Linked DNA regions of Struthio camelus. The protein of the gene in region 3 interacts with the protein of the main gene of each other region in a pairwise test. Links are inferred from orthologs where the notes say so. Each region holds a gene or a part of one and is shown on either strand. Other genes may lie near its edges.

Region 1 (7,995 bases), on a different chromosome or scaffold from region 3:
ATATGATTAAACACTAGAAGCTAAATGATACAGAACATCTTTTTTTAATTAAAAAAATAGAAGTAGTTTGTTTCTGAAACATTTTTAAACGTATTAAAAAGAATACAACTCAAAAGGCTTCTCACACATGCAGAACTACGGCAACTGGAGCAAGCGCAGATGTTTAAATACTTAGCACAGGTTAGAATTTGAAGTATTCTCGATCCGATCCAATCCAATGTGTGTATAAAAATAATCCAAGATAGAAAAAGACCTACCTATCCATATAAAGATTTGATAGGTTTACGGACTGCTGCATTTGAACCACTATTAAAAAACAAACAAACAAACAAACATGGTTTTCTCCTGTTAAATAGAGCTGAGCTTACAAGTTCTAGACCTGGCCATTTAATCACAGCTCACACAGAACCTCTGTTCCCATGTCCCACGTTCCAGCTGATGAAAGACAGCAGCTTCCAATCTAGCTTTAAATAAAATCAAAAACCCTTTAAGAAAGTTTCAAACAAGTATTTTGGAGGACTTAATTTTCTATGCAATTTAGACATACTGCAGCAATCTCAATATGATGAAAAAAGTTATACTTTTAAACTAGATTTTGCACACAAGTTCTTAAAAAAAAAAAAAATTAATCAAGTCCAACATTACCTCTCTGTTTCAACACTTTTTTCTCCTTTTAACTTCAGGTGCAAATCAAAAGTCAACCATGGAATCCAGAAATGGAAGAGATCTACTACATCACACTCAGCGTGCTCCTCTGCCAGCAGACTAGCGCTCCCTGAAGAGCATCCTCTGCTGCTTTGTCTGGCCCAAACTCAACACTAGTGGGGATCCTACCACTTCCTTTCGGGAGCCTATTTCAGAGGCTGCTGCAATTTATAGTAGCAAATCCATGCTGATATCCAATGTACTGTTATTTCTTCATGCATCATCTCTATGTCTCACTGCTCAAGAATCAAAATCCAAGATACTTGTAAACATCTTAGCATAGCTCTACTAGAAGATAAGTTAAGTATCTATAGTATTGAAAAAAGTGGCATCAGCAGTCTGCTTTCTGCAGCCTGGATGCCCTTAAAGACGGTGACCTTTAAAAGGCAAACGTTGCACCACGTACCTATATAACTTACTGGACTTCTACTTCACCATTTTTAATTTGCTCTCCCATCTAGAGACCGTACAACTACTGTCCCAGGAATTCTGAAAAGGTATTCTAAAATCTGCACCCAGCAGCGTACACAGGCCAGATTACTGAATCAGGAAACCAGATCAAGCGCCTCTTCTCAACACTGGGGCCTGAGCATGTTCGTGCTGAGCCTCGTGCTGAGCTGAGCTGATCTACCAAACTGTGGCCACTGACAGGACCTAGCCTAGCTCTCCAGGTGCACCTCCTCATCCCTCCTTTGCGTCCGTCCTTTGCTCCCTTTGTGGACCAATTCCTCTCTGGGGAAAGGAGGAGGCATAGCTAGGGAAAACAGCAATCGCTCTTTCAGCAGTACAGAAGGTAAACCGGTTCAACTCCCTCGCTTAACCAAGACATTTTTTCTTCCATAGTTTTATGCCAGTTTACTCTGCTGAAGCAGCTCACTGAAAGTCAGATGAGTGCCAGCACTGGCCCAGGGGAAACAGAGAAAGTAAGAGAAACTGTCCCTTTTGGTAGCATCAAGCTGTTGTATCAGCTCAGCCATCCAGTCACTCGGCGGGATGTTGAGACATATCAAACCTTCCTAACTCTGTTATCCTCAGTTTGCAGATAATCTATTCTTATCTTTTAAGGCACTTAGAGATCTAGTGATGAAAAGCACAAAGAACTTGATAAGTACTTGCGTGTGCTCGTACTATAAACTTTGCAAGAGAAGGGCTGACTGTTATAAACATATTAGAGTTAATGAGACTTAATAACAGAAGAAACTGTTTTGAAGGCCTCAGTCTTTAAAAGGCCGAAGTTTTAAAGGTTATCTAAAATGGACAAAAGTAACTTTCATATGATTTTATATTGGAAAAGGTCACTTCTTTTTCAAGTGTTCAGCTTAGTGATGCACAGCTGTACTGAAAACATTTTTATTTTCCTCTACCGCCATGCCTGTCTTTTAACCAATAGCAGAGTAGCTCACCATTTCCATGTCGAAAGTCATGTTTCTAGGGCCTTTGGTGATAAACAGTATCAATGTAAACATGAATTATTTTTGAGAAAGCAAGTTTGCTTTCAATACTGCAAGAATGTTTTTGGTGCACACAGAAGCAGAAAGAAAAGGCAATTTAAATACAGTAGAAGTCAGATTCCTAGATCATTCCCAGAGTACTTTTCTCCAAACATTAGGACACCAAACAAACAGCTGATTGAATCTAAAGAACTCTCTTAGTCTGGCAAGTAGATACATAACGTAACCTCTTTCAGACAAACTCTACATACGCTATCATGTTTAGATAGCAATGGAGAGAATCCCTCTGACTTGCTCCTCAAAAATATATAGATATATAGATCTATTTCTTTACATATATTTTACATATATATACACGTATATCTTGCTACTATCTCTAAATAAGTCTGTTCCACAGACACCTCTAACTGTAACTGAATCATATTATACACCGGAACATTTTTCATGAACTCTGTCCTTTAAGATCCTAAACATTATGCTGAAGCTACTCACTATCAAAAGTGACTGAAAGGGTTTTCACAAGCAGAAACAAGTTGAAAGCTGTTAGTGACGAGTATTTTTCAAATCAAACGTCTCCACATACTACGTTTGAAACCAGTTTCTTACAGTCAGCATCCATCTCTCACACCTCTCGTTCAGCACGCTGCAACAGTATGAACGGCATCGCATAATAACGGTCACTGCTTGTCACAGACTTCTTGCCTTTGACCAGGATACAAAGACACGTACCGCACAATTTCCTGCAAACAGCCCAGCAGAGTGTCCGGATAGGTGCATGCTGAAGCAGTCACCAGTGTTCACATAAAAGGTAAAATAGACACGTTTGGTCATTTTCCAAGACAAATGCAGGAGTTTGTGTCAGAGCAAGAATACATATTCATGACTCCCTTAATCTTAATTCTGTGCTCAAAACTCTAATAGCATCATGGCTGCTTTTCACCTAGATAAGTGTTGAATTTTAATAATACTAAATATCAGAATAGTAAAAGAAAAGAATACTAAAAAACTTCTAAAATGAGGTTCCATTTATTTATTTTGCTCATTAGCCAAAGATAAAGGCAATTGTTACGGCTTTCTTTGCTATGAATGTTCTCTTCCATAGCAAGAGCATCTAAGAAAAGTGAATTAGAAGGACAGAAGTTAAAAACCCAAGTCCAGCTATTAAACCTGTTTTCTGTAACAGTGGGTATCCCAACCGGGCTTTCACTTAGGAAAAAAGCAAAAAATCAAGCCCCAGATGTTATAATTATGCCCAGCTCTATCATTCAGGTTTTGGCATCTTTATCTAGTACTTCTCCTTCTCTTCCAACAACAATTTTCTTGCCTTAAATTTGGAATGAATACATTAATTTTTACTGCCTGCCCCACTTGCTGACTGCTGCAGTTCATACTGTCTAGTCTGTATTGCCATGTTGTTTTTTAAGTATGTATGTTCCATAACTTGGAGCTTAAACATATCTGACAGCACAGAAAGTAGGAGGAAACGTGAAATATATCCACCAACTCATCTCCTACACCTCTACAGAGAGCGTACACACCTTCAGAGGTGGAGGTCAATTTGTTAATAACTATCCCGATTTTACAGCTAAGAAGGCAGAAAATGCATAAAGTCAGCTATGTCTGCTCCTATCCCCACTTCAAAAAATTGCTCATTGAACAAATAATTATTAACAGATCATTCAGCACGCAAAAAAAAACTTTTCAAAGCCATTTAAAGGGACCTTCAGACAAACAGCTAGGTCTGAATAAAGCCAGAAAACATGCTGTGAGATAAATCTCCGGGTTTCCCACTATTTTCTGTGGCACAGCCTCCATTACTAGGAGCAAAGAAAAGAGTCAATACAGGCTCAATAATATCAATATACGCATAAGTATTACATATTGACATTAAAACTTTTGGGCAGGATCATAAGAGGCAGGTATTACAAAATATGTCCGGTTCCCAGCATGGGTTTAAAGTGTGACTTACTCAATTTCACCTGTTTTTCTCTTAACAAAATACATACTAAGTAATTTAAAGATATATATTAAAACTCATATTCAAATTATGTGCCCCTCCTCTCTCATAAAGCACACATTTGTCAAGAAACAGAATTCCAGAGGCAGCAGGGAAACAAAATAAACAAAAGTGCTTTGTACGCGCGGAAAATGTTCATTCTGTTCTGACAAGTTCCTCTTGGGGTGGTAACCGTCACTCACATCCAGTCTAGAAATCTCGCTTCCCACAGAAGACGCTCGCTCCTTTTCCACCATAACAGAAGTTCCTCTCCTCCCAACCCCCATTTTTATGCGTCTAAGTCATAAAGCCATAGGAAACGGGGCAGCAACGTTCACATCTCAGACAAGTTCCTCTTTTTTTTTTTTTTTCCTCCTTTTTTCTGTTGCTGCTTAAAAGAATATGACTGTCACAGAGAATGTCGACAGGAAAAAAGTAACAGCGGAAAGAGTTTTGACTCAATGTCAAGAGATGTATCAAAACATGAAAACAGTATAAATGCCGCAAGTTAAACAGTTGCTTACAATGATTCACAATAATGAATTTTTAAAGGAGACATAGAAATGACAGCAAGTCATTCACAATGTGTCAGGAACTTGCATCACTGGACTTCTAATTGTTACAATATTTCCCATCAAATTACTTGTAGCGCAATGATGCCATAGGCAATTATCATTGGCAGAAATATTTTGCGTGTGTGAACAGACAAACAGATGGAGCTCCAAAGTCCACCATTATTCTCAACAAGTATCTATCGCACTCTGGAGTGAATAACATGTTGAAGAAAATGGTATTTTGCAGTTCAACTCAAACAGCATATACTCTCTCTAGAAGGCAATGCTGTAATCCCTGAAGCACTGGTTTTATTTCAGACTTCCTATTTTTTAAAGATAACAAAAAATAAAGCGTTCTGAGAATATGTATGCTCCTCTCCCGTAAAGTGCTCAGGAGGACATCAGGAGCTGGCAGACAAAAGAGATGAAAAATACGAAGCACCTAAAGAAAAGTTCTCAAATTGCAGTCTAGGGACTCCCAAAGAATTGTAAAGTTCTTTTCATGAGCTGCAAGAACACAAGAGCACAAAGAATCTCATAGAAAAGATAAGGAAAAAAAAAACGTATAAAAAGGACATAATGGGCCTTTTTCATATGGCAGTGTCACTTAGAGTGGCATGCAAACGGAACTTGTATGGGAACCACTAAGCTAAGGCATGAGTGTTTGGCAGCACTACTGTTTCTAAGGTTAGAAAAAAAGAAGGAAAAAGAAAAAAGTGTCATCACACATACACCACACAAAACTATGCAAGTATTCCTATTTTACAGTATTTTAACTTTGCTAAAATCTTAAAACAACGCTATATAACAACACCTCTCTGGAAAGCAACCGAGTAAGATCCAAATTTGTCCTAGTTTTGACGACATCTCCGTTTATTTCTCACTTTTGCCCAGGCACGTGCTAGCTAGCCGCAGAGCGAGCGAGCGCGCCGGCACCCCGCGCAGAGGAGCGGCCACGAGGCGCCGCGGGGCCCGGAGCCCCCGGGGCGGCGCGCTGCGGCTCGGGCCGGGACCCGCGCGCCTCGCCTCGCCTTCCGCCTCCCGCCGCCGGGCCGGGCAGCGCCCGCCCGCCCGCCCGCCCGCGCCGGGCCGGGCCGGGCCGGGCCGGGCCGGGCCGGGCCGGGCCGGGCCGGCGGCAGCCAGGTGCGCTGCGCGCGCCCGCCCGCGCGGCGCCCCGGCCCGCCCGGGCGGCCCGGCCGCGGCTGCCGCCTCCCCGCGCCGGCGGGCAGCTCCCGGCCGGCAGCCGCGGCGGGCACACCCCCGGCCCGGCGGCCCGGCCCGGCCCGGCCCGCGGCCCTCCCGCCGAGGCGGGCTGTGCTGCGGCGCGGGCGGCCCCTTACCTGCGGAGCGCCCGTGGCCGTGCGGGCGCGGCCCCTCGGGGCGGGCAGCGCGGACGCCCGAGCCGGCGGCGGCCCCACAGCCCCGCACCGAGCGAGCGGCGCCGCGTCCCGGACACAACTTCGCCGCGCGCTCCCGCCTCCCGCGCGCCCGCGCCGGCCCGGCCCGGCCCGGCCCCGCGCCCAGCCCGCCGCGCGGCCCCGCCGCCCCCCCACTCACCCGGCCCGGCCGCGCTGGGGGAGGGGGCGGCGGCGCGCGCGGGCACGCGCGCTCGCGGCTGCCACGCAGGCCGGGCGGCTCGGGGGCGCGCGGCGGGACGGCCCCGGGGCGGCGCCGGGCGCTGCCGCTGCCGCCGCCGCCGCCGCCGCTGCCCGCGGCGCCCGGGCCTCCCCCGCGCCCGGCGGCCGCGCCGCAGGCCCCGGCCCCGGCTCCGGCCCCTGCGCGGCCGCGGCGGCACCAAAGCGCCTGAAGTCCGCCCAAAAGCCAGCTCGGTTCCCGGGCGCCGACCCCGGCGGCACGGAGAGCGTTTACCTGCGCCGATTTTACTTCCGTTTTAACTTGTGGGTTTTTCCATGTCCTGAGATGAGTCACAGCAAAAGCAAAACTAGCCTAGGGAAAACAGAATTAGCAGAGCCCTCCCACCAGCGCGCCGGCTCGCGGCCTTTACTCCCCCGGAAAATTACCGCTGCCAGGGCCTCGCATGTCAGAAGTGCCCACGTCCTTCCCCGAAAACTGCGCAGTGCTCATTTGCAAACTTCCCCATTTTTAATTTCAGCCTCTGGTTTCTCACTCATGATCCCAGGGATTAGTTCCTTCCCCGCTGCGGGGCTAATACAAACTGAGTGGCGACAGTGACAGAATTAGAAATTTGTTGCAACAATGGCAAAATTATACAGCTAAGACTTTCCTTCGCAGTATTCTCATTTGTCTTTCGCTGATCCTCTTACGTAACGTTAATTATGGGGACATGTAATTAGGTGCTCTGCTCCTGCAAAGACATGTGCTAAACATCACCAACAGAAGGAGTAGCCGTAATGATCGTAAGAGCAGTAGTCACATGTCTAAAGCAAAGTGCATGACTTTTTTTGCAGGAATCGGGGTCTAAACGGGTCTAGGTCTAAAATATATGATCTTAGGAATTCAGTAGAACCTTTTTTTTAATCAAATGGAAATTTTTTCTTCCTTTTTAAATTCACGAATTGCAGTGCTTTGTAGATGAAGACAAAAGCATTAGTAACCTTAGTATACTTAAGTCTAAATTCAACAGTATTTTTTACAAGTGAAGAAAAACTCGAAACTGAACTTAACAATAAATAAAAGTGAAACTAACAGCTCTCATTTAATTGTCTAAACTGGGTGAAAGGCATACAGTAACAGAGAGCATATCTGGTGAGAAATATTTCTGATTGCTCATATTTTGTCAATTTTTGTAATCCAAGGCCTAGCTACAGCAGAAGAAGTTTGCTGGCATGACAGTAAACCAGCCTAGCACCGAGGTCCTATCACAGCAGGAAACTGCTAGTGCCAGCTTGTAACTGATACCAATACCAGTTCAGCACATGAAATAAGCTACGCAAGCACGAGCACTTTTCGCTAGTATAACTTCGTTTCTGCTAGGACTGTTGCCAGTTAAGAAAAAATACAATTAAAAAAAAATCCTCTAACCAACCCTGTTCAATTGATGTAAGCAGTTAGTGTGGAGCTGATTATAACTGCGACCTGCACGGGATGGCAAAGGCAGGTGTGCAAGAGGAAGCTGTTTCCTTAGAGGCAGAAAGGGGCGTCCAGAACAAGACCCCCCCGCGCCAGGAGACCTCCGTTCTTTGGAACACGCCCGAGACGCCGATGCCCTTTGCGCTGTGCCCTAACCCTTGCGGGTTTGCAGAGTCCTCCAGGCGTCCTGCCGCTGCACGTACGGCTGTCTAGAGAGGACGGTCAGAAACACCGACAC
Region 2 (7,158 bases), on a different chromosome or scaffold from region 3:
TGCTCTCCAGAAAACTGGAAAAACATTCACAGTAAAACAAGTCCAAGAACACAATACCTGCCAAAACTTTGCCAAAAATACCTCTCAACTTTTAAAATTATAATAATAAATCTGTATTTCTACATAATCTGTCCAGCAAGTTTCTCACAGAACAACTACTTAGGTAACTTCAGTACCTTCATTAAAAGAAGCTTTCAGATATGTTTATATAAATAAGTTCAGGGCAAATAATCAGTTCCATTATTATTATCACACTTCATATTGTTTGCTAACACTACTGAATAACACGTCTCTTTATTGTAATTATTACACAAGTTCTTTCTACATAAGACTTTCAAAATTACCAATTTTTCTTATAATTTATTTTTAAGCATAGCATGAATCTTCTTTTTACAAAAAAGGTCATCTTGAAACCAGAAAAACCCAAACTGGTTCTTTCTCTTTCTCAGATTTATATAGACATGCACAAAGCTTCTTCCTCTCTGAATCTACAGACCATTTCTCTTCCACACTCACACCACTACAGTGAAACTCCCATGTGTATTCCATTATCCCAAAGATAGTATTTGTAATAGAACAGTTCTTCAGCTAGAGTAGCTAACAGAAAACACCTGAACATGTTCTGTCAGCGCTCCTGAACGCCAAGCTACCCCGAGCACTTCTGTTGCATGCTAGTGCTCTCTCTCTCCCTAGGTTCCATGCTGGAATCTGGCTGGCTTGTACTGCTCAAATATAAATAAGGCTCTGGATGGAAGGAAAAAAAAAAAAAAATCTTCTGGATTCACTGCCTTGTCAAAGATTTCACATTAGGAAAAGCTTTTGGAAGTCAGAATTCAATTGGTTACTCCACCAGTTGTTTCTCACGCAGAGTATTTATAGAAATAAGAATTTTTTTACCCTGTACGTCAAGGACTTCATTCTACTTCCAGTTAAGTCTTCCCACTGATTCCAAAGGGGTGGGCTAGTTAGTTGGTGTATTAAGAACAGACCAGAAAACACAGAAATTTCATCAGCATCCTCAGAAAAAAGGTCTGCCTTAAGCAGCTCAAAAATTTACTATGACATCGGGGGGGGACCAACTGTGCAGTATTTAAGTACCACCGGTCCTTCCAGTTTGACATTTAGATTTTTCAGGCTCTCATAGCTTTTTACAATAAGTTCAGTCTCCTGCTCACCCGTTGCTCTGAAAATGCCAACACAAGTAACTTCTAAGTTTATGTACTACTATTAGCGGTGTATTTATTGAAAGTTTACAGTTTTTCCCCCTCATTTATCATGCTCTGAGGGGCCACAATAATAGCACTTAAGTTTTAAGCCTGCAGGAAACTGTTTATTCACAGGACTTTTCTCCCTTTTAATGCTACAGTTGAGACCACAGACACATTTCTATTTGAAAACAAAATTTAAGTCTATAAATTTAGTTCCGAAGTTAAGTTTTAAGTCACTTGTAGTCCTATAGCTATGAACATAATTTCTCTCTGAAATTCTACTGAAGCTTCAGTTTTTCCAGTTCACTCAGCTTCACATCAATGCAATCATTATAATGTGAATTGGGCATTAAAACCTTGAATATTCCTGTAGGTTAATACTAACGACTACACCATGGGTAAAGCGTGGCATGGAACGCTGCTGCACGATTGAACACGTTCTCAGATTATGTACAACTACTGTGTTGTTTGAGCTACAGAGAATGGCCAGTTTCCAGTCATTCTTTCGCAAGTGGTGCTTTAAAGATAACTCACAATCTTGAGGAATGTCCTGTTTAGAAGACAGTGAGAGAAGGAAGAGGGAAGGAAATAAGTTTTCATCTACCATTACCCAGCATTTCCATTTACCTATATCTAACCCCGCCACTATTTAAAACATAAACAAAAATCAAGGTCTCCAAAAGCATAATCCTAACCTTTATTCACCTAAAAATATCTGGTGCTTTGGTGTAAATATAAATTCCACCACAAATGCCAACTCTGTAGTCCAAATACTGCCCCCAAAACTCCTCCTACAGGAGAACTGCTGAGGTCCCTTGCAAAGAAGGGTAAATAATAAGCATGCTTCAAACTCAATAAGTGAAAAACCCTGGAGGACCCAGGAGATTTCAGCAGCGTTAATGCCAATAAGTGTCCACACCCACAATGAAACGAAGCACATTTAGAATAACCCGGGGAGGTGGGGGGAGGAAGGTCCCACAACTGACAGGTATGAAAGATGAGAAACAGGAAGGCAGACAAAGACTAGAGGATTCATTTCTTTCCCCTCCCCATCGTCCTATCGTATGGTCCGAGAAGTGAAAGCTAAAACCGAACGATGCCCTCTCCTGAAGGATGAGAAATACAGGAGCCCAAGCGCGGCCTAGCCGAAGGCCTGCGCCACAGCTCGCCTCAGCGCCCCCAGCCCTGTAAAACGGAGCACGCTGTGACTTGCCCTCGCCTTGAGGGCTCGAGAGCGACGGCTGCCCCCAGCGAGGGCTGCTCCGGCCCCGCAGGCGCCGCCGCCATTTGGCGGCCTGTCAGGTGCCACCCCCGGGCCGCGGCCGCGTTTAACTACAGGTGTCCTCGACGCACTGGGGCCTCCCAGCACCGGGCTCCCCTCAGACTGCGCTAACTGCCCCACAACAGCATTTTCACCTCTTTCTAATCGCTTCCTTTGTTGCTTTCCAGCCCTCCCACCAGGGAAACAGGCTGCAGCAGCGGCGGGGGTTAAACACGGCGGCTTTCAAGCGAGCTCCGCGCAAGCCGAGCTGCCTCCCCCCAGCTGCCCCACAGCCCCCTCCTCAGGCCTCGCCGCCCCCCCCCCCGCCTTCGCCCCCAGCCCCAGGCGCCCCCGACCCCCCCGCCTGCACTCACCCTCCTGGAATTTGGGCTTGGGGTCCTGCTTGGGCGCCATTTATAAGTGACTCTCCCTCCTCCCGCCCCCTCCCCGCGGGGGCCTCACCACCTCCGCCGCATTACGCGCGGCCGGCCCCAGCCCCGCCGCGCCGCGCATGCGCGCCGCAGCCACCCCGCGGCATGCTGGGACTTGTAGTGCGGCTCGCCCAGCCCCCCCCCCCCCCCCGCGCGGCTGCGGGCGCAGCTCTTTCTCAGTCGGACTGTCGGTTAGGGGCTTCATGGGAGCCGCTGTTGCGTGGCTGTGAGAAGCGGGATGGGGAGGGGGGGAAAAAAAAAGCTGCGCCCAACGTGGGGCTCGAACCCACGACCCTGGGATTAAGAGTCCCATGCTCTACCGACTGAGCTAGCCGGGCGCCACATTTGAGCCTCTTCCTCTGCCGTAGTGAAGAGCGCGGCGGCGCACCGCGCCGCCCTAACTCCCTCCTCCCCCCTCACCCCGCGCAAGTCCAGCGCTGCCGGCGACTGATCCTCCACGCCGCGGGGGGGCGCCCCGGTGGGGAGCCGCGGCCGGGCCGCTCTGCTGCCCGCGGCGCCTAGCAACGTGCGCGCGGCGGGGCCCGTGAGGCGGCGGCGGGGCCCGTGAGGCGACGGCGGGGCCGCGGCCTGGCCCGGCGCCCGCCCGTCCGCCGGCGTTGCTTGAGCTGCGCTGCCGGGAGGCGGCCGGGGGTGCGAGCAGCTCCCGCGCTGAGCGGAGCCGGAGCCCCCAGCCGCGGCGCGGATGCTCCCCTGGCGCCGCCTGCCCTGGTTCCTCTCCGCAGGCCTTTTACGTTGCACCTGTACGACGACGAGCGTTGGCCGGTCCGACGCGTTTGAACAAACATCCTCTGTTTGTAGAGGCAGATGAATGTTTATTATTTCTTTTCCCTGCAAAAAGGTTTCCTGTGATCGTTTCATCTGTTTTCATATTTTAACCAAGGTCGCTTTAAATAAAGTAGCCCACCAAGGACAACCGAAATGGAGCAGCACAGAAAGTGAACTCCTGGGAAAGCTGCCGGGTTCTTCAGTACAGCCTGGAAATGCGAGACAGTCTCCAAAGTCGTGTTTTTTCAAGAGATAAGCAAAAAAATATTCTGCGTTTCTACAGGGAGCTTCCTTTATTCACTTTAGCATGCAGGGGTTATGAACACACGAGAACCATGTTAGTTAATCCCTGTATAAATAGATACCTGGTGTAGCCGTGCTGCGCTCTCCAGTGTCCAATGAACGGATTGTGATTCTTGCGTTTTCCACGAGGCGGCACACTCGCTGAAACAGAGCACGTCCACGCCGATTTCAAGATGTTATTCCTGAAAAACAAGAAGTCCAGCGTGGAGGGGGACGGGAATGGCTCGGTGTTCCCAGGCCCGGCTTGAGGCTTTCCAGCACCGGGTTCTGGCTCGGCGGAGCTGCGTCAGCTGCTGGGTGGAAACGTGCCCTGAGTAGAAGCCAAGCTAACGAAGTCGCTACAGTAATTTCAGGGGGAGGAGGAGAGCTGTCGAATGGTCTCCGACTGTGATTTTATCAGCCCCAGCTCTGCACCATACCACTTTGTTCACAACACCTCAGCACATTGCCTCGTGGCTAAAGAAGAACAGCTTCTCACTGGTGTGAGGCTGTGCAGTCCCACCCTGCCTTGGCCTGCGGGTGCGCGGCGGGTCAGAGGCGCTTCAGAAATCCCCATAAAGACTGGGAATGGCTCAGCTGTTTGCGCATTACTTTATTTTGCTTCCCAGAAATGTGTTGGTTCCTCATCTAAATACACATATCCTTTCCAATGTGCGGATGTAACTGCTGTGTTTCAGTGCCCCTCCTTGGAAGATATTTGCCAAGTAAAAGGCAAAAGTGGCCTGACTTGCCGTTTCTCTTTGGCTAAACTACTGCAAACACCGCAGCACGTGGTACGCCAGTCGCGGGGTAGGACTGTGTGCCTTGTTGGAAAGCATTCAGAGCCATTCAAGAGCAATTGTATTTAAATGACAGCATGCTTTCAGAATCGATCTTTTTCCTCTCTAGTGCTTGCAGAAGACACAAAATGCCTGATCTTGGGAATGGTGAGTCAGATGGACGTTAAAATAATGGCGCATCCACTCCCCTGGGCTCTGTGTGCCCAGATCACTACAGGAAATCACAAGAGCGCAGCAGTGGGACAGCCTCCAGCAGGCCCAGACTGTGTAAAATATTCTTACCTGCGTTTCGCCCCATGCAAAAATATATTTTGGGATGTATTATGGCTGAGTTGCGCTCGGAGTTGCCTGCGCTTTTAAGAACTACTTCATTGAAAAAACGTCAGAGCGCCACATAAGGAAGATGGAACAACTCTATTTTCATAAACCTATTAAACCTCACTCACAGGCAGTCTTTCAGAATGCACTTATCTGAAACTAAACACTCGGTTTTGTTATTCTTTAAACATTTTACTCTTCTGGCTTAAATAGATAGGACTAGGTGGTGAGTTCCTGAAGTGCAGAAGGAACAGGCAGAGGAAATGCTACAAATAGCGTATGCCATTAACAACAATCAGATGTATTTAATGAGGAAAGGACTCTAATTTCCTGCAGTCCAAATGCCCTGCCAAGGAGTTATTTAAATGGAACCAAATTATCCAAGTTTTATATTTCCCATTCATTTTATCCAGAAAAGAAAAAAACTACATAAGAGGGGAAAGCCTCAGACTTTATACCTTAGGTATTTTTAGCTGGGAAAATGACATCCTAAGTAAAGCATCGAAGAAGTGACATGTTTTTCATTGATATTTTGCAGAACTGCCGTGAGATGGGGGTGAGAGGCAGCAGTCCCGTGGACGAGCTGTAGCCGTGCAGTTAGCAGGCGGGAAGCACGGAGAGATGCTTTCTAGCAAGCTAACAGGCTTTCCTCCAAGCGCTGATGCTCACTGCAGAGGTTTTGCTGCTTTACACCGCACAAAGACCTGGATTGCTAAACACAGCACGAGGAGCAGGCAGAGAGCTCTGTTACTTCCCTCCAGCTTATGCTACATCTGCATTTGATGAGATTTGAGGAACGAACATCACCTAGCGCAGCGCCCACGTAAGTTCGGCTGCTGACAGGATCAAGGTGTAGGGAGGAAAGGCTTTGGCAGTGGCAGCCTGCTCCTGTCTCTGTGGCACGTTGCATAAATTCTCTGCTTTCGGACGGGCGCAAGGCCCTAGAATCTCCTCCCGAAATGCCAGAGTGAGAGCTCTGCCCATGCCTGGGTGGTGGCTGGGTCTCCTCCGGCTCTGGCGGAAACCCCAGGGGCCCGCAGCTGGCACACCGTGGCTCTGGCCACCGTCCCTTGCGCGCCCGAAGGACGCCTGGCTGGGAAGAGGCGCTGCGGGTCACCACAGCCGAGGTAGCTGAGGTTTCCGTGCACCCTGTCAGCTCCTCGTGATTTATCCTGCCATGGTGTCACTGCGGTGCCACCGGGGTGGACTCCAGGCCCGGCCTCAGATGGGGATTTCTGCCCCGCCGCAGAGGTGGCTGGTGCAGGGATGAGGGCCCAGACCCAGCGCCTGGACCCGAGGGGGACCTGGACTGGGGGGACTTAGGGACATCTGGGCCTGAGGGGGACCCAGGAACAGGGCTGGACCTGAAGGGAACCGGAGGGCACCTGAGGGGACCCAGACGCAGGGAGCACCCGGACCCAGGGGCAGGGCTGGACCCAGTGGGGCCTGGACCCAAGGGGGGCCCGGGCCCAGGGGGTCCTAGAACTGTGGGGGGACCCTGACCTGGGGGGGGGACACCCTGACTTGGGAGGGACCTAGACCAGGGGGACCTGGACCTGGGGGGGAACAGGATCCAGGGAGGACCCAGACCAGAGGGGGACCCGGATCCTGGGGAGACCCTGAGATGAGGGGGACCTGGAGTGGGGGGGACCTGGACCTGGGGGGGACTTGGACCGGGGGGGACCCGGATCCTGAGGGGATCCTGACCTGGGGGGGGGGACCCAAAACTGCGGGGGGACCTGGATCTGGGCAGAACCCGGATCCTGAGGTGAGCCAGCTCCTGGGGGGGACCCAGATCCTGTGGGGACCTGGACTGGGGGGGGGACCCGGAACCTGGGGGGGACCTGGAACAGGGGGGACCCGGACCTGGGGGGACACTGACACTGGGGGGACCGGACACGGGGGGCCCTGGACACGGGGGGGCCCGGACCCGCGGGTGACCCTGTGCCTGAGGGGGACCCTGACCCAGGCGAGCCGTGACGGCCGGGCCGGGGGGCGCAGTCCAGGCCGCGGGGGGCGCAGGGCCGAGCCCGGGCCGGGCCGGCCCGGGCGGGAGGAGGCCACGGGCTCCC
Region 3 (7,728 bases):
AGCGCGCGAGCGAGCAGGGCATAAAGCAGTTGCCAAGCTCTTTCCCAATCCCACAGCACGCTGCCTGCCCCTCTCCAGTCTGGGGGCTCTGCGAGTGCCCCTGTTGCTGCCCTGCGGCCCATGCCCTGGGCGCACGCGTTCGGTGCGTGCCCCCCCTCCCCGGCCCACACCATACGCCCGCGTGACATGAGCCAGCCGACGGGCCGGATCCGTCCCCCGCTGCCTCATCGCATCTCGCACATGGCTGCAGCTGGCACAGGGCACGAGGAAGGGGGGTTGCTGCCCGCATGGTCTCGCCTGCTGAGCTGTCACCTGAAATCAATCCGCCTGCCAGCGCCCGAGGGGGCAAGCAGGCGGGGAGGGCAGAGCAGGAGGGGCCGGGCTGCCAGCACCCTCCCCTCCCCTCCACCACCACGGGCACGTGCCTTCCCCGGGCACGGCGACTTTCCACTGTACCCAGCCCGATGCCCCAGCGCTGCCGCCACGGGGGTGCGGGTGACGGCCTTCCGCTCACCTCGCCAGTCGCTGCCCATTCGTCTGGCCCGCTCAGGTCCCTGCTCCGCGAACACAGCTCAGTCACCCCCTGCAGCAGGAAAAAGAAAGAGGAGGGGGTCAGGGTGCAAAAAGCACCCACTCCCAAATCACCCCACATCAGGGCCCGAAGGGAGATGGGGGGGCTCACTGCACCCCCTGCAGCTTCCAAGGACCAGTCCTGCACCCACTCCCCCAAATTGACATGCTTGCTACCAAGCCCTGCAGAGGTGCCAGGCAGAGCCCTGCCCATCTGCACCCTACCCAGCATCTCCACCCAAACCGGTGGTACCGTACCCCCGCCACAGGGCTGGGAAAGCAGGGAGGGCACTGGGGCCATGCATCAGCACCTGCCCGCCTTCTCCTGGATGGCAGAGGACAGAAACCAGCTTGCCATGCCAGCTGACTGGCACAGCCCTGCGCGCTCAGCCGTGGGCTAACAGCGGGGCGTGCGTAGGCCGCTGTGCCCAGGGCCTCCAGCTGGGCTCGGTCATCCCGGGCCCAGCGTCCCCGCCAGCAGAGCCAGGCGAAGGGCTGACCCCGGCCCTGCCCTGCAGCCGGGGCTCCTTGCTGCTCAGGAGCTGCCAGGCCCCCCAGCACCATTTCCAGCCCTGCCAAAGCTCTCCGGCCGGCAGGTCTGGGACGGGCAGCGCCAGCGCGGCACAGCGGATGGCCAAAGATGCCAGGGTCTAGTATGCTGGTCCTGGCACCCCCCCACCCCCCAAGAATGGGATTATCAAACATGGTGATCTGTGGGCGACATCCCGCTTGGGAAACTCCTGCACAGCCCCTGCGCTGCCTCACCAGCCCCTCCGGCTCCTTTCCCTGCACTCAGTAGGGGACACGGCAAGGGGACGGCGATGGGGAGCCAGCCCGTGGGCACCTCACACCGCCTCACCTCCCACTCTTTGCCGGACCCCTCCTTGCTAAACATAACCCCCTGCCCTGTCCTGCAGCTGGATCCCAGCACCCTGCCAGCCCCCAAGGGGACAAGGCCACCACTAGAGCCCGACGGCTCCTTTTCTCTCCGGCTGCAGATCAGCTCCCAGCCTGGGACAGGGAGCCCTGGGGGTGCCACCCCACCGCGCATCCCCCGCCGTGAATCCCGGGAGCTGCGGCTGCGGAGAAGGGATCCTTCTTCACCCTCCCGCAAGCTCCGATCCGCCTCCAGGGAGGGTCCGGCAGGCCGGGGCCTCTGGAGGACGGAAACTTTCAGCTGGGGACTCGCCAGGCCTGCCGGCGGCGAGCGCGGCCTGCGAAACGCCCCGGCGGCGCCGAGCGGGCCGGCAGGCAGCTCTGAGCTCCCCAGTAAAACCAGTTAGTAACTGGGCCGGCGTCACTGCCGGCGAACTCAGGTGGGAGCACAAGGAAGCAGGATCCTCCGGCTCCCAAACGCCAGGCACGGGGAAGCTCATCCCCGCCGCGCTCCCGGCCTTGCCGCGGGATTCCCACCTCGGGCCACCAGAGATTTCGGGGCCCCCGCACCTTTCTGAGGGGGCTCAGACCCCACACGCCCCTCGCAGTGCCCCCCAACCGACCCCACACCCCCCCCCCCGCGCCTGCCCCACAGCTCCGTCCCCTCGACCCACAGCAACTCACAGCTGCCCCACACTGCTGCCTGCCTGCCCCTCAGTGCCCCGCACCCCCCAGTGAGCCCCACATGACACCCCCCCAAAGTGCCCCATAGAGCACTGGGGTCTCTGCTGCTCTATAACACCCCCAGAGTGCCCCACAGAGCTCCTGGGCCTCTGCCACCCCATAGTTCCCCCCAGTTGCCCCACAGGACCTGCAAAGTGTCCCCACAACAGCCCCAAAGAGCCCCATAGAGCATCTAGGCCTCTGCCATCCCGCAACACCTCCCCAAAGTGCTCCCACAGGACCTCCAGGCCTCTGCTGCCCCATGCCCCCCCCAAGGTGCCCCACAAAACCCCCAAAGTGCCCCATAGAGCACCTGGGCCTCTGCTGCCCCACAGGGCCCCTAAAGTGCCCCACAACAGCCCCAAAGTGCCCCATAGAGCACTGGGGTCTCTGCTGTCCCATAACACCCCCAAGAGGCCCCCCCAGGACCCCTAAGCCCTTGCTGCCCCACAGCCCCCCCAAAGCGCCCCACAGGACCCCCAAAGTGTCCCTCAGAGTTCCTGGGCCTCTGCTGCCCTACAGGGCCCCTAAAGTGCCCCATAACACCCCCAAGAGGCCCCCCCAGGACCCCTAGGCCCCGGCTGCCCCACAGCCCCCCCCAAGTGCCCCACAGAGCACCTGGGCCCCTGCTGCCCCATAGCTCCCCCCAACTGCCCCACAACAGCCCCAAAGTACCCCCCCAGGACCCCTAGGCCTCTGCCACCCCCGCCGCCCCCCGCGGGGCCCCCCAGAGCCCCCCCGGCCCCCGCCCCGCTCCGCGGCGCCCCCCGGCCCGGCCCAGCCCGCACTCACGCTCGCCCCGCGCCGCCGCTCCGCTCCGCGCCGGCCCGGCCCGGCCCGCGCCAGGCCCCGCCCGCCGCCCCCGGCCCCCCTGGCCCGGCCCGGCCCGGCCCGGCCCGGCTCGGCGCGGGAGCCCGGCAGGGGGGCGCCCTACGGACGGGGCGCGGGGCAGCGACGCCGCCGGCAGCAGCGCCGGGCCGGGCCGGGGAGCGCCCTGCGCGGCGGGGGCCGGGGGGGGGGGGGCCGTGGGGCTCGGGGTGCCGCGCGGCGGGGCGGGGGTGCTGTATGGGGCTGGGGGCGGGCCGTGCAGTGGGGGGCCCTGCACAGGGTTATGGGGCGGGGGTGCATTGGGGGGCTCTGCATGGGGCTATGGGGCGGGGGTGCTGTGTGGGGGTTATGGGGCGGGGGTGCATTGGGGGGCTCTGCATGGGGCTATGGGGCGGGGGTGCATTGGGGGGCCCTGCATGGGGCTATGGGGCGGGGGTGCTGTGTGGGGGTTATGGGACGGGGGTGCATTGGGGGGCCCTGCATGGGGCTATGGGGCGGGGGTGCTGTGCAGTGAGGGGTCATGCATGGGGCCATGGGGATGGGGGTGCTGTGTGGGGGTTATGGGGCGGGGGTGCTGTGCATTGGGGGGCTCTGCATGGGGCTATGGGGCAGGGGTGCTATATGAGGGCTATGGGGGGGGGGGGTGCCACACGGTGGGGCGGGGGTGCTGTATGGGGCCTACGGGGCTGGGGTGCCATGCAGTGGGGGGCCCTGCATGGGGGCTGCGGGGTGGGGGTCAGTGGGGTGGGGAGCAGTGCCGGGGGCTGTGGCCCTCTGTTGGTGCCCCACGGCTGGGGCGCCCCGCTCAGCCCGGCCCCAGCCCCGAGAGGGGACTCACGCCGGCAGCTCCCCCCCCGGGGCCGACCCCGCGTTCGGCCAGCCAGGCTCCCCAGAGGCTCCCCAGAGCCTGGGCGAGCCCCTCCGAAACCCCCGGAAACCCCCCAAAGCCGCCCTGAAGGAGTCGTCCCCCAGAGGTGTTTGGGGTGCCCCCAGCACCTTGTCCAGGGGAACGGTGGCCGGGCTCTGCCCCGTGTCTCTGTTTTGCCCCCCACCGTGGGTGGGATTTTGCAGCTATTCCCACCCGCTCTTTGAGAGCTCCCAAACTGGGAGACAACGGAGAAAGAAAATCAGTACAGCAGCAGTTTGGAAAGCCGCGGGGCTGGATTCAGCGGCGGGCACCCCTTGAGCAGGTGCAACCGGCAGGCGCCCGGGGACACATCGCCCACCCAGGGGGTCCCTGACGGATCTGGGAGGGAGGAGGGCTGGGACCTCCCAAGGCCAGTGGTCCCATTGCTTGGGACCCCCCTGCCCCCAGGGCTCGGCTCCACCGCCCCCTTCCCAGCCCTGAGGGGTAAATAAGGAGGGAGACGGTGGTCCTGAGGGTGCCCTGCTGCCCCAGCTCGGAGGGTGCAAGGATGCACCCTGCGCAGAACATAGTCCTGTGAGGTCTGCCCCACTCCTAGTCCTTTAACCTTGCAGCCCCCCCCCCCCCCCCAACAGCATCGTCCTTTGGCTGGATCAAGGGGAAACTGAGGCCAGCGAGCTGGATGGGTGCACCTGGGCTGAGCGTGGATGCCCCGAACCCCAGCCTGGCACCTGCCTGCCTCCACACAAATCCTCACTGGAATCACCCTGGCACTGGGGAGAAATGCCACCAGGGCAGTGATGCCACCAGACCTGCCCAGGGCCTGGCTGTGGTGCTTGTACAGCGCCTTATGCACAGGAGACACCATAACACCGCCAAGCTCTGCCCCAGCTCCCTCCCCAACAGCCCGCTGCCCCCCACCTTACCTCCATTTGGCCAGGATCTGCTCCACAACCGAGACCCTCCTCCATTGCTTCTTGCACCCCTGGCCTGTCCTGGGGGCCTAGCCAAACTCCCTCCTCAGGCTCCCGATGCCTGCGCCAACAGCACCCAAGGGTGCTTTAACAGCCCCAGGGAGCTGGTGCACCCCAGAAAACAGCAGCTGGGTGTGTACCGCCTGCCCGCCCCAGCCCCTCATTATGGCTCAGGTTAAAACTATGCCCCGTGCGGAGGCAGATAATAACTCACGTGCCGGGCTAAACACACGGCGGTGATGGGCTGTGACCACGGGGAGAGCTGTGGGCAAGCCCCAGCCAGCACCCTCCTCCCTGCCTGCGCTAACCTCCCCGGGCATCCGGGCCAGCCGCTGCCCCCTTGGCTGCCCTGGGTGAGAGAGGGGGTGGAGGGGAGAAAGCAGGGACTTCTCCTGGACAAAGTCCAGGGGACAGGCATGGCCAGGCCTCCCCGCCAGAGCCCATCGTGCTGCCTCCAAGGAGGGTGGAAGAGGCTGGTGAGGGACCTTGGACAGAACAGACCCAAGGGAGGTCCCAGCCCCATCGATGGCCTCTCTCCTTTCGCTGCTTATCTTTAGGGTGGGATGTTCTGGCATGCGTCCCAGTCAGTAGCATCTCTTGTCAAGACATCCCCATAACCCTGTCCCTCTGTTTGTCCTCCTCCACCCAGGAGTTTATGGCACCAACCTGGTCCCTAGGCTCCAAACCCAGGAAACGCAGACCAGTCCCCATTTGAACGGGGGCAGAAATGTGCTGTTGAGGCCCACAGGCAGATTTCAGTTGAGCCTGAGCCCTGGAAACTCCCTGTGGGGCAGACATGCCCAGCCCGGCAAGGGCCCCTCAAGGACATCGCCTCCCTGACCAGGGTCCCCCCAGCCAAAGGGTGACGTGATCACAGGCAGCAAAGGACAGCAGCATAGGAACAGCACTCAGATTTCTGCTTTAATAAAACTATAAAGGAAAACAAAAGGATTGGACCAAGATCCGACCGTGGACTCTTCCTGCCACGGCAAGGACCAGCCAGGTCACAGTGTTCACCACTAAACGCTTTGAAAGAGGGTCCCTGGGGATGGACTTGAAAAGTCTCTGGACCACTGCTGCCACATTCAAAGCCCTGGGTGAAAGCAGGGCCAAGAGGAGGGGAGACCACAGCGCACGCCTGGCTCCAGGGCTGCCCAAAGCCGCTGGCCCAGAATGCTGGCACCCCTCTCCAGCCAAGCCCGGGGGGGGTCCCCCAGGGGTTTTACTGCTGGTGATGCCCACAGTGGAGAGACAGGACAGGGTAGACCAGGGCGTCCTGGGGCAAAGGGCAGTAGTCGAGCAGGCAGAGCTGGCAAGCTGCACATCCCACCTGCTGGCCAGCAGAAGAGGAAGCAAACCCTGCCTTCAACCTGCCACATTTCCATCCTCACTGCTCAGGCGCCACCACCATGGGGGTGGCAGCTCCCACCTTTGTCAGGGCTTCACAAGGCTCCCAGCAGAGACCATCCAGCTCCAGGCACCCCAGGCCAAGGGCCATCCACAGTATCCCTCAGCATCCCTCTACAACCTCCCTCTTGCTGACCCCATCCCAGTCAGGACCGAGCACAGCACTCCTGAAATCCCTATCCGAGACAGGAGGAGGTCTCCGCAGTCCCACCATGCGGCCTCTCGTGGGGTCCACGACGATGGCCCAGAATTTTGGCCCAACAAGTTTAGCAGCACGTTAATAAAATGCTCCAAGCCCAGAGCCCCAGGGCTACAGGTTACTGCCCCTGGGCCCTCACCCAAGCCATGGCCCACTCCACGCTCTCAGCACTCAGCACCAAGATCAAGTGACCAAAATTTGCAAAAACATCTGTCTAGGACACAGAAAAGCATCTGCCCTGCACCAGGAGCACCTCCGCCAGCGGCAGCCTGCAGGGAGCCAGGACCGCCCCCAGCTCTCCATCCCTGGGCAGTTGGGAGGCAGCACAGCAAGAAAAAGGCTCCTCTTCTCCAGCAGGATCCCATTCGTCCTCCCACCACGGCCCTCACATCTCTCCCAGTGAGATTGCTTTTGCAGCCAAGAGGCCTCTTTGCGTAGGAGGAAAAAGGACAAACAGCAGCACGTTATTGCCGTTCCTGGTGGAGACGGGCTGGCATACCCCAGCCCCATGCTGCTAGCACCAGTCCCAGTTCCTCCTGACAGACCAAAGAAGGGAGTAGCCAGACTCAAGGCTTCTTGGAAGACCCCGTGCTTCCAGCTGGAGCTTTCTTGGATAAAGGCGCCTTCTCCTCCCTCATCTTCTTCAGCCTGACCTTGCTTTTGCCAGCGGAGGAGAAGGTGAGCGAGGCCTTGCTGAACTCCAGGGGGAAGACGCCCACGTCCCCATCAAAACGGTTCTTGGACACCTGCAGGTACCGCTTCCCAGGCCCCGTCACCAGCTTCCTGTCCTGCAGGATGAGGACGTTGTCTGCCTCCTGGCTGGCCTGCAGGAAGGAAAAGGTCTCCAGAAGGGTCCCGCGGATACAGCCGTAGTGGTATGGCTCAGAGAAGCTCACGAGATGCCTGTTTGACTGCTGTGAGCCCCACTACAGTGTGCCCCAGGCCACAGCGTCTCCAGCACTTCCCCAATACCAACCCCTTGCCCCAGGCTCTCTTCCCCCAGGACACCATAGCACCCTGCCAGAGCAGACAGATTTGAACGGAAGCCACCACATCCCCCGAGGAAACAAGGTAAGCATGAACCCAGGCCAGGATCACACCACAGAGCACAGCAGGGCCCCCAGCCCTCCCTACCCAGACACGGGCACAAACACCTCTCTGGGGCCCTGGGGTTTGCCACCTCCCTGACCAGAGATGCCGGGATCCCAGAGCAGTGCAGGGAGGGCCAGGCACACTCACAAAAGCCCCTCCTGCCCACCACCACAAGGCTGCTCAGCATCATAGCA
Region 4 (7,086 bases), on a different chromosome or scaffold from region 3:
CTACTATCCATATTCCTATATTTGGAGTTATAATAGTGTTTTGCCACAGAAACAAGTTATAGTAACTAGATACTGCTGAAACTGCTCTGCAGTAGCTGCAGCGGACACGGACTTGTTCCCCTATGCAACAGAGAGGTACCTGAAGAAAGCTGAGTCCTCTATGAATGACAGGATAGCTCCCTCAGCAGGGGCACTGGGAGATAAAAGCTTGCACGCAGGCCCTTGGCACACACTGACTTATGTATGTGTCAAAGCCTCTGGCTTGTGAAGTACATCAGTTCCCTTGGAAAAAAACAGCACAAACAACATCTTTGCAAAATCACTGAGAATTCTTCCATCCTCCTGTTTGCAAGAAACAAAAAACCAAACGTAATCTCATTACCCTAGTGATCAGAAGCCTCTTTTGAGTCCATCTATGGAAATGACAATACAGCATGCTTTCTGATCATATTTGCAGTCCTAAAATGTAAATACACAGATTATATATTTACTGAAAATGTCTGTATGCAAGCAATAGTATCAACTAATCTGCACAGACAGTCATAGACTTTTGCCTGTTCCCCTGCATCACTTCAAACGCTCACAAGACTGGCCAAACCGAGGATAATAAAATTTGATTATAAACCAGTGAGTAATCTCTTTCTTTACTGCCAGATGTGCCTAATTCCTATTGTCATCTTTGTGAGTGCCTTGGTTGTGCAAGCAGCCAAAAGGAATCTTGCATGCTGCACTTTGCTTTCTCTTATTTTAGGAGTTCTGTTTTGGTCAATGTATGCTGGGCACAGAGCTTGGTGACCTGGTGGGAAAGTCCCTCAAGCACACTGTCGCAGTCTCACAATGAGCACGGTACCTCCAGCACCATGACCACGTACCAGGACGGGAGCAAGGGTCGCAGCAAAGGGAGCGTGCAGCCTGCACAGCCCTGGGCACAGCTCAGCACATTTGAGAAAGTGGCGTTGGCCATATAGTGGAGGCTCCACTCACTTCTGGGACCTCAGCACAGGGATGGTCTTCCTGCTGGGCAAATAGCAATTCTGCAACTCCAGGGAAGTGCTCCTTGTGGGGGAGGTAGGGTACTGACCTATTGGATCCTTTGGGGATCTGAGGTTAAACAAATAACCCTTTTAGTTGTCATTTCCCATTATCAAGGAAGAGCGTAGCAATATCCCGGTAGTGCTGAATGTGTATGGTGAATAGTGGATGCTATTGATGCTGTGAGACTTCTTTTCTTTTAAAGAGCCTGTTTTACACAGGGAATACCTTAGCTCTCTTCCTTGGAGTATAGCATCTAAAAAAAGATCCCGAACCCCACGTCAGAACTCTACCCACACAGACAGATTATTGCAACGCACTCTACAGAAACCTCGTTATAACTCAGAATAACGTAGATTCTTCCTACGTTAGACTTTAAACGACGGGCAACACGAACCACCTCTGTGAAGCAGCTGTTTAGTTCACACAGTAGTTCCCAAGGCACTGCCCAGCTGTAAGCTCTTAGTGACAAGGACCTCCCCATTTTTACATGTTTGCACAGCACATAGCATCACTAGGAATATGGTCCATGGGATGGGCTGTCAGATGCTAGCATGATACTGATAAGAAAAGTACGTTATCCAGGTAAGCTGCAAAGAGCATTCATTCTGAAAGGTTAATTTTCTTCGGTTACCTTTCTCTTTTTTCCAAGTAACATACCGGCTGGCAGAAAAACTTTTCATATGCAAGTCAATTAAAAATTTAGAAGCCACACCATTTGAGCTGGATGTTGGCTTTCAGCAAGGAGAATTGAACCACATTTAATAATTAATGAGTAAATAAGAGGCTAGGAAAAAAAAAATCCTTTTTGAGTGGCGTACATACAGATTCTTCTGCCAAAATTATCACTCATATCCCGTTTCAACTGCTGGCTTGCTAAACAGCAAAAGTTCACTGACGGGTCTGCTGGAGGGGGTGAGGCAGGTGAAACACCCCAGCCCTCCAGACAAAATTCTCTTCTCTGAGCCTGTGAGAAAACCAGTCTTTCCAACTATGAACAGATGCTTCTAAGGGATGCATGCCTAGTGTGAAAATAGCTAAAAATATCAACCGAAAGCAATCCCCTCCCTGACTCTCCCTCCCCCCCCATAATACTGAGGGGAAAACACAAACAAAAATCCCCAAACCCCAACAACTCAAAAGCCAGGTCTTTTCCCCGTTCAGAGCCCCGAGCCGCCCAGGTGACCTGCAAGCGTTCAGAAGTATGACTGTCGGATTGGAGATGGCTTATAGCAGGCTATTTCACACCCTGCCACAGGGCTCCAAATAGCAATCAAAGCAACACATCTCTTTATAAAGCAAAGAAAGGAGGAGGGGGGGAAGGAAAAAAAAAAAGAAAAAAATCTTGTTCTCTCAATACCTTTGATTCCTGGCTGGTGGTCGATGCCGGAGAGGGGGGCTGCTCTGTGCTCTCCACTTCGTGCTCCTTCTCCACCGTGTCCACGCTGACTTCAGTCGCGCTGCTCGGGGGAATCATTTTACCTCTGAAACACTGCTCCTACCGGGAAAGGAGCCACAGACCTTTCTCCCTCTTCTCGGTTTAACGTCCTCTCTCCTCTCTGCTCTTCTAGAGCGAATGAACCCCGATCATGCTGTTTCACTATATTTGCCAGCCTGGAATTCTCTGGATTTTCTTTTTTTTTTCCCTTCTCCTCCTCCTCCTCCCCCTCTCCTCTTCCTCTCCCTCCTCCCTCTCCCCTCCTCCCCGATGTAATTCTGCTGCAAGGGGAGCAAGTCGCCGCTGGCGCCGTAGGTCAGTCCTGTGCCTGCCTCTGCGTTTTCCCGGTCCTCCTTTCCTCCGCGCGAAGCCCGCAGGCCCCGAGCGGAGTCGTGCCGGGCAGCCCCGCGGTCAGGCGGGAGTGAGCCGAGGCAGCACGCCCGAGCCGCTCGCCCGCACGGGGCACCGGAGGGAGGAGTTGTGTTGCTAAAGCCTTGACTAGCTTTGCAGGAGCGTGTGCTGTCATAGTAGTGTAAGAAAGTGCTGCGCGCGTGCACACACACACACACACACACACACGCGTGCAGGCGCAGAGGCACGCAGCGTGCATGAGGTTTGCAAGCGTTTTTACCTTTCACTCAGGCGGAGGGCATCAGAGTTTGAAGTGCAGCTTTATATTCTCACAAGTCTGATGTGTTCCCAAAAGAGCTCTACAAACAGAGGAGGAATAGGAGCGTTCCCTCACTTTCTCCCACAAAGAGTTTATTAAAAACCATAGCCACCCCATGTTTCTAAAGGCCAAACACCTCCCCCCCGCCACCAAAACCCTGGCAAAGTGTGACGCCGCTTCACGTGCTCGTCCTTCCCCAAAGCACACTGAAGTGCGGGCAGGGGAGTGCTGCTCGGAGTGGGGCGCGCACACCCGACCAGGGTCCCCCCCGGAGCTGCACTAATCCCTATACCTGCAGCTTGCCATAGCGATGGCGCTCCATCAGGATCGCCCTCCGTCAGGATCGCCCTCCGTCAGGCAGCGCTGGAGCCGAGGTGGCCGGGGAGGAGGGCCTGCTGGCTCCCCCGAGGGCCGTGGCTGGCCAGGATGTGGCACCCGGCAGTCACGCTTGGGGCCACGGGCTGACTGGTGGAAGGTCACCACAACTTTGCATGTTGGCTTGGCTCCTGCCCGAGTTTTCCACTGATTTAAATCCACGGCAAAGGCGCACGTCACCTCTCTTCCCTACCTGACTTTAGGTGCGGTGTGCAAATGGTTAAGTGGACGCGCTCCTCACCAGATGCATGCTCTGCAGAGCAGGAGCTGCTCCATGCAGCTGGAGGAGATGCCTCCTGGCCTTTCGTTTAAAGGAAAAATAAAAAAGCGACCCAAACACGGGTTTCCAATAAGTTGCACTTCTGTTCTCAAAGGTGCACAGAAAAAAAATTCTTGCTTTGTACATCTAGACTGCTGTATATTTGGAGGTGATTTGCTGAGGTTTGAGCCAGAGAGATTTGGTAGCTCTGGGTACCAGGCTCTCTTCTTGCCCCATCCCTTAGAAACACGGTTGCTGCCTGTGGCTGCCTCGCAGGCCCCCTCTGCCCCAAACAACCCACGGGTGAAAGGAAAGGTAGGATTTCAAGACAGTATGGGTTATACGGATGAAAGTCAGAGCAGAAATTGTCCTGCAGCCTCTATACTCTTTGTAGCTATGCAGAGGCCTGGAAAACACAGCTTTTCTTTGAATCCCCAGTGAATTTCCAGGAGTAGCAGTTAAATGGGGAAAAAAAGCTTTTTTTCTCCAAGACAGAGCATATAAGATACTGAAGTCTTTACCAGACGATAAACACGAAATGCCGTGATGCTATTTGTACAGCCACTTCAGAGCAAGAGTGCATCTTAGGTGTCTGCCAGCACAACCCTTTTTTTGGCCTGCAGTCACTAGCACCATCACGGGGATCAGAACGAGAACACCAGTCGCTCGTTGAGGCAGCTTCAATGACAACTGAGATTGAAGCAAGGAAATACAGAGCTGAGAATGGTGGATTTAGCAGGAGAGTGAATCAATTGATTTCCAAGGGTGTGATTTTTAAAATAGAGCAAAATCTTAGAGAGTTCCCTTCTGAGCCGGAGGAATTCCCAGCTGCAGATCTCACTTCTTCCACCTAGCAAGAGAGATTTAGGTGCTGCCATAAAACTAGCCTGTTAGCAATGAGCAGGGACTGCTCAGACTCACAGTTTGGGGGAATTAAGGCAACTGTGAGCCGCAGAGGTCTTGGCAGGGCCATAGTGCTTGAATGCTCCAGCTGGGGCGATGGTGTCCTTCCTGATGGTCCTGCCTAGCGCACTGTGGTTGAGGGACAGGGCACCGGGCCTGCCTGCTGCAAGAACTACTCTGTGAGCCCAGCAGTGTGAGAAATTTGTTTTTTTTTCCAGTTCCCCAAGAGAGTTTTGAACCAGTCTTTCATGGTAAGAGGTTCAAACACATCTTCTAACAGTGAACTTGTAGGTCACTTCTGAAATGGAGCTGAAGTGGCTGGTTAACAGTTAACGTTCTAAGTGTTGTAAAATCCGGCACACATTTTTTATGAAAAGCTCGCAACGTCATGACTGTGTAAATGACTATCATACCACTCTCTACTCTTTTTTTTTTTTGTTTTACCAAATTAGTTCTGACACCTGCTGCACCCCCTCTCTTCTCCAAATTACTCACTTGTCAACCATGACTGATTTGTCAGTTACTTGACAATCAGCCTGGGAAATATGAGTCAAACCTAAAATCTTACCAAAAAAGAAAAGAAAAAAAAAAGGAAAGAAGCTGGATTTCTCATATTTTTATTTCCTTGCACAAGAGCTGGTTACTGAAAATCAAGTAGTCAATATAACAAAACAGACTGATGAAGTTAGATGAACCTACGTTTCCCTCTCTCTCCCACGTGTCACTCTTGAGAAGTTGGACTTGTGATTAGTGCCGATCAGCCTCTAAGTGAAAGTACTTGGCGGAAACGCGAGCGCTGCAGCACAGCGCTAAACGAGAGGAAATTGAACAGATTCGCTAGCAAAGAGATGAGTGTAGATTTCTGGAGTGGGGAAAGGGAATTTGGATGAATAAAACATGAGACCAGATTCTCAGCCTCCGGCTGAAGCTGTTTAACCATATTAAAGCGCTTTGTCGCTGCCTGGAGTTGCAGCCAAGAATTGCCCTGCAGGGTGATGCAGAGCTGCCTGCATGGGTGCTCTGCTACGCGCTCTCTCCCTCCGCACGTGCCAAGGTGGTGAGTGGCAGCACAGAGCATCTCTCCGAGCTGGGGCTTGAGAAGTTGTTCCTCAGTGGCTGCTGCAGATTGAGTCAAGGGTGCCTCACTGCTCCAGGAGGATGTCAGTAAGCCCCCTCCTCAGCTGCACTGAGGCTTAAATGGCTACAGCCAGAAGACTTGGCCCAGTGGTCCTCGGGATGGAGGGAGCTGTGGCACAGATAGGGCAGAAACTGCTCCGATCAGGAGCAGAGGCAGATGCCACCTTAGACAGTGCTGGGGGGAGGGACATGATAAGGTGATGCTGCCTTAGGTAGTGCTAGGAAGGGGGGGCGTGATAAGGCACCGCTAATTCTCCCCTGCTTCCCTGCCCCGACTCTGTTTTTATGCAGCAGAATGAAAGTAGGGTTGTAAAACACCCCCACTAACTTCATCTAGTCTACATGGAGCACCACCATCCAGCAAAGATGGGGCAACAGGGGCTTCTGCAAAGAGCCATTGTCCAAGAGCTCGTGACACCATGTGTGTATGCTCTGATTATTAATGCACATTAAATCCATATTGCCAAGTCCTACTTGCTGTAGAGCTCCACAGTCACAGGATGATGCTGGCGTCGGTGTTTTGGCCAATGCCACATTCCTTCATGTTCATTTTCTGGTACTGACATTCCTTTTGTGATATCTGAACACCTTTCTGCAAAAGAGGTACATGAGCACAATTAGATTCCCCTAAGAGGAAAGAGATGAAACTGGCACTTATGCAAAAGGTGTTATTCCTGTTTAGACCCTCATGCGTTTACTAGAGGAGAATAATAAGTAAGCATAAAGGAGAGAGGTGTCATTTTTACTGCCTGGTGCAGGAACCATCTCATACCCCTGAGCAAAAACAGGATAAGGGAGTACATAAGATGATGTTACTCACAAACAGCAGTGCTTTAAACCACTATGTACATCTCTTTAGAAAGGAACAAAGCAGTAAGGAATCAGGCCAGCTGTCACCAAAGCAAAGCCCTCGGAGGAAAGAGGAATAAAGTCCACCGAAAGTCCAACTTCCACGAAGATGCAGATTGACTGCCACAGAAAGCCATCAGATACAGAAAAAAGGTTAGAGTTCTGGCACCTGTAGTGTAACTTTATCAGCTTCTCTCCAAGTCCCTCAGTCCCATTCTGTCAGTGTTGCAGGTGAGACACAGTAGTTTGATTTCTTAGTCAATTCGATTTTGTCTCTTGTGAAAACTGGCAGCAGGATTCCCCTCTGGTGACATTTGTGATGGGAATTTTATTTTCAGCAAGGTGCATTTGGCCAGACATACTGGTGGACCCTTTCACCAGGCTGTGCTCTCAAATATTAGCTAGTGTCCACAGTTGGCTACT

What was found.
Region 1: the proteins of LZTS2 (region 3) and NEK6 interact in binary tests that used the Homo sapiens proteins (3 or more experiments, as listed by UniProt). The two-hybrid records come from large-scale screens. The link is inferred for Struthio camelus from reciprocal best matches to the Homo sapiens genes LZTS2 and NEK6.
Region 2: the proteins of LZTS2 (region 3) and MORF4L1 interact in binary tests that used the Homo sapiens proteins (3 or more experiments, as listed by UniProt). The two-hybrid records come from large-scale screens. The link is inferred for Struthio camelus from reciprocal best matches to the Homo sapiens genes LZTS2 and MORF4L1.
Region 4: the proteins of LZTS2 (region 3) and STAC interact in binary tests that used the Homo sapiens proteins (3 or more experiments, as listed by UniProt). The two-hybrid records come from large-scale screens. The link is inferred for Struthio camelus from reciprocal best matches to the Homo sapiens genes LZTS2 and STAC.

The regions. Positions count from the first base shown.
Region 1 is NC_090961.1:1,652,694-1,660,688, forward strand, and holds the start of NEK6 (serine/threonine-protein kinase Nek6), read right to left. Parts: upstream 3,003-7,995; 5' UTR 2,988-3,002; coding exon 2,886-2,987; intron 1-2,885. UniProt on the Homo sapiens protein: Protein kinase which plays an important role in mitotic cell cycle progression. Required for chromosome segregation at metaphase-anaphase transition, robust mitotic spindle formation and cytokinesis.
Region 2 is NC_090953.1:1,357,398-1,364,555, reverse strand, and holds the start of MORF4L1 (mortality factor 4-like protein 1), read right to left. Parts: upstream 3,001-7,158; 5' UTR 2,884-3,000; coding exon 2,844-2,883; intron 1-2,843. UniProt on the Homo sapiens protein: Component of the NuA4 histone acetyltransferase (HAT) complex which is involved in transcriptional activation of select genes principally by acetylation of nucleosomal histones H4 and H2A.
Region 3 is NC_090948.1:15,894,049-15,901,776, reverse strand, and holds the start of LZTS2 (leucine zipper putative tumor suppressor 2), read right to left. Parts: upstream 3,018-7,728; 5' UTR 2,962-3,017; intron 584-2,961; 5' UTR 515-583; intron 1-514. Other genes in the region: TWNK (twinkle mtDNA helicase), read right to left, coding at 7,009-7,266. UniProt on the Homo sapiens protein: Negative regulator of katanin-mediated microtubule severing and release from the centrosome. Required for central spindle formation and the completion of cytokinesis.
Region 4 is NC_090943.1:53,929,505-53,936,590, reverse strand, and holds the start of STAC (SH3 and cysteine-rich domain-containing protein), read right to left. Parts: upstream 3,015-7,086; 5' UTR 2,510-3,014; coding exon 2,393-2,509; intron 1-2,392. UniProt on the Homo sapiens protein: Promotes expression of the ion channel CACNA1H at the cell membrane, and thereby contributes to the regulation of channel activity.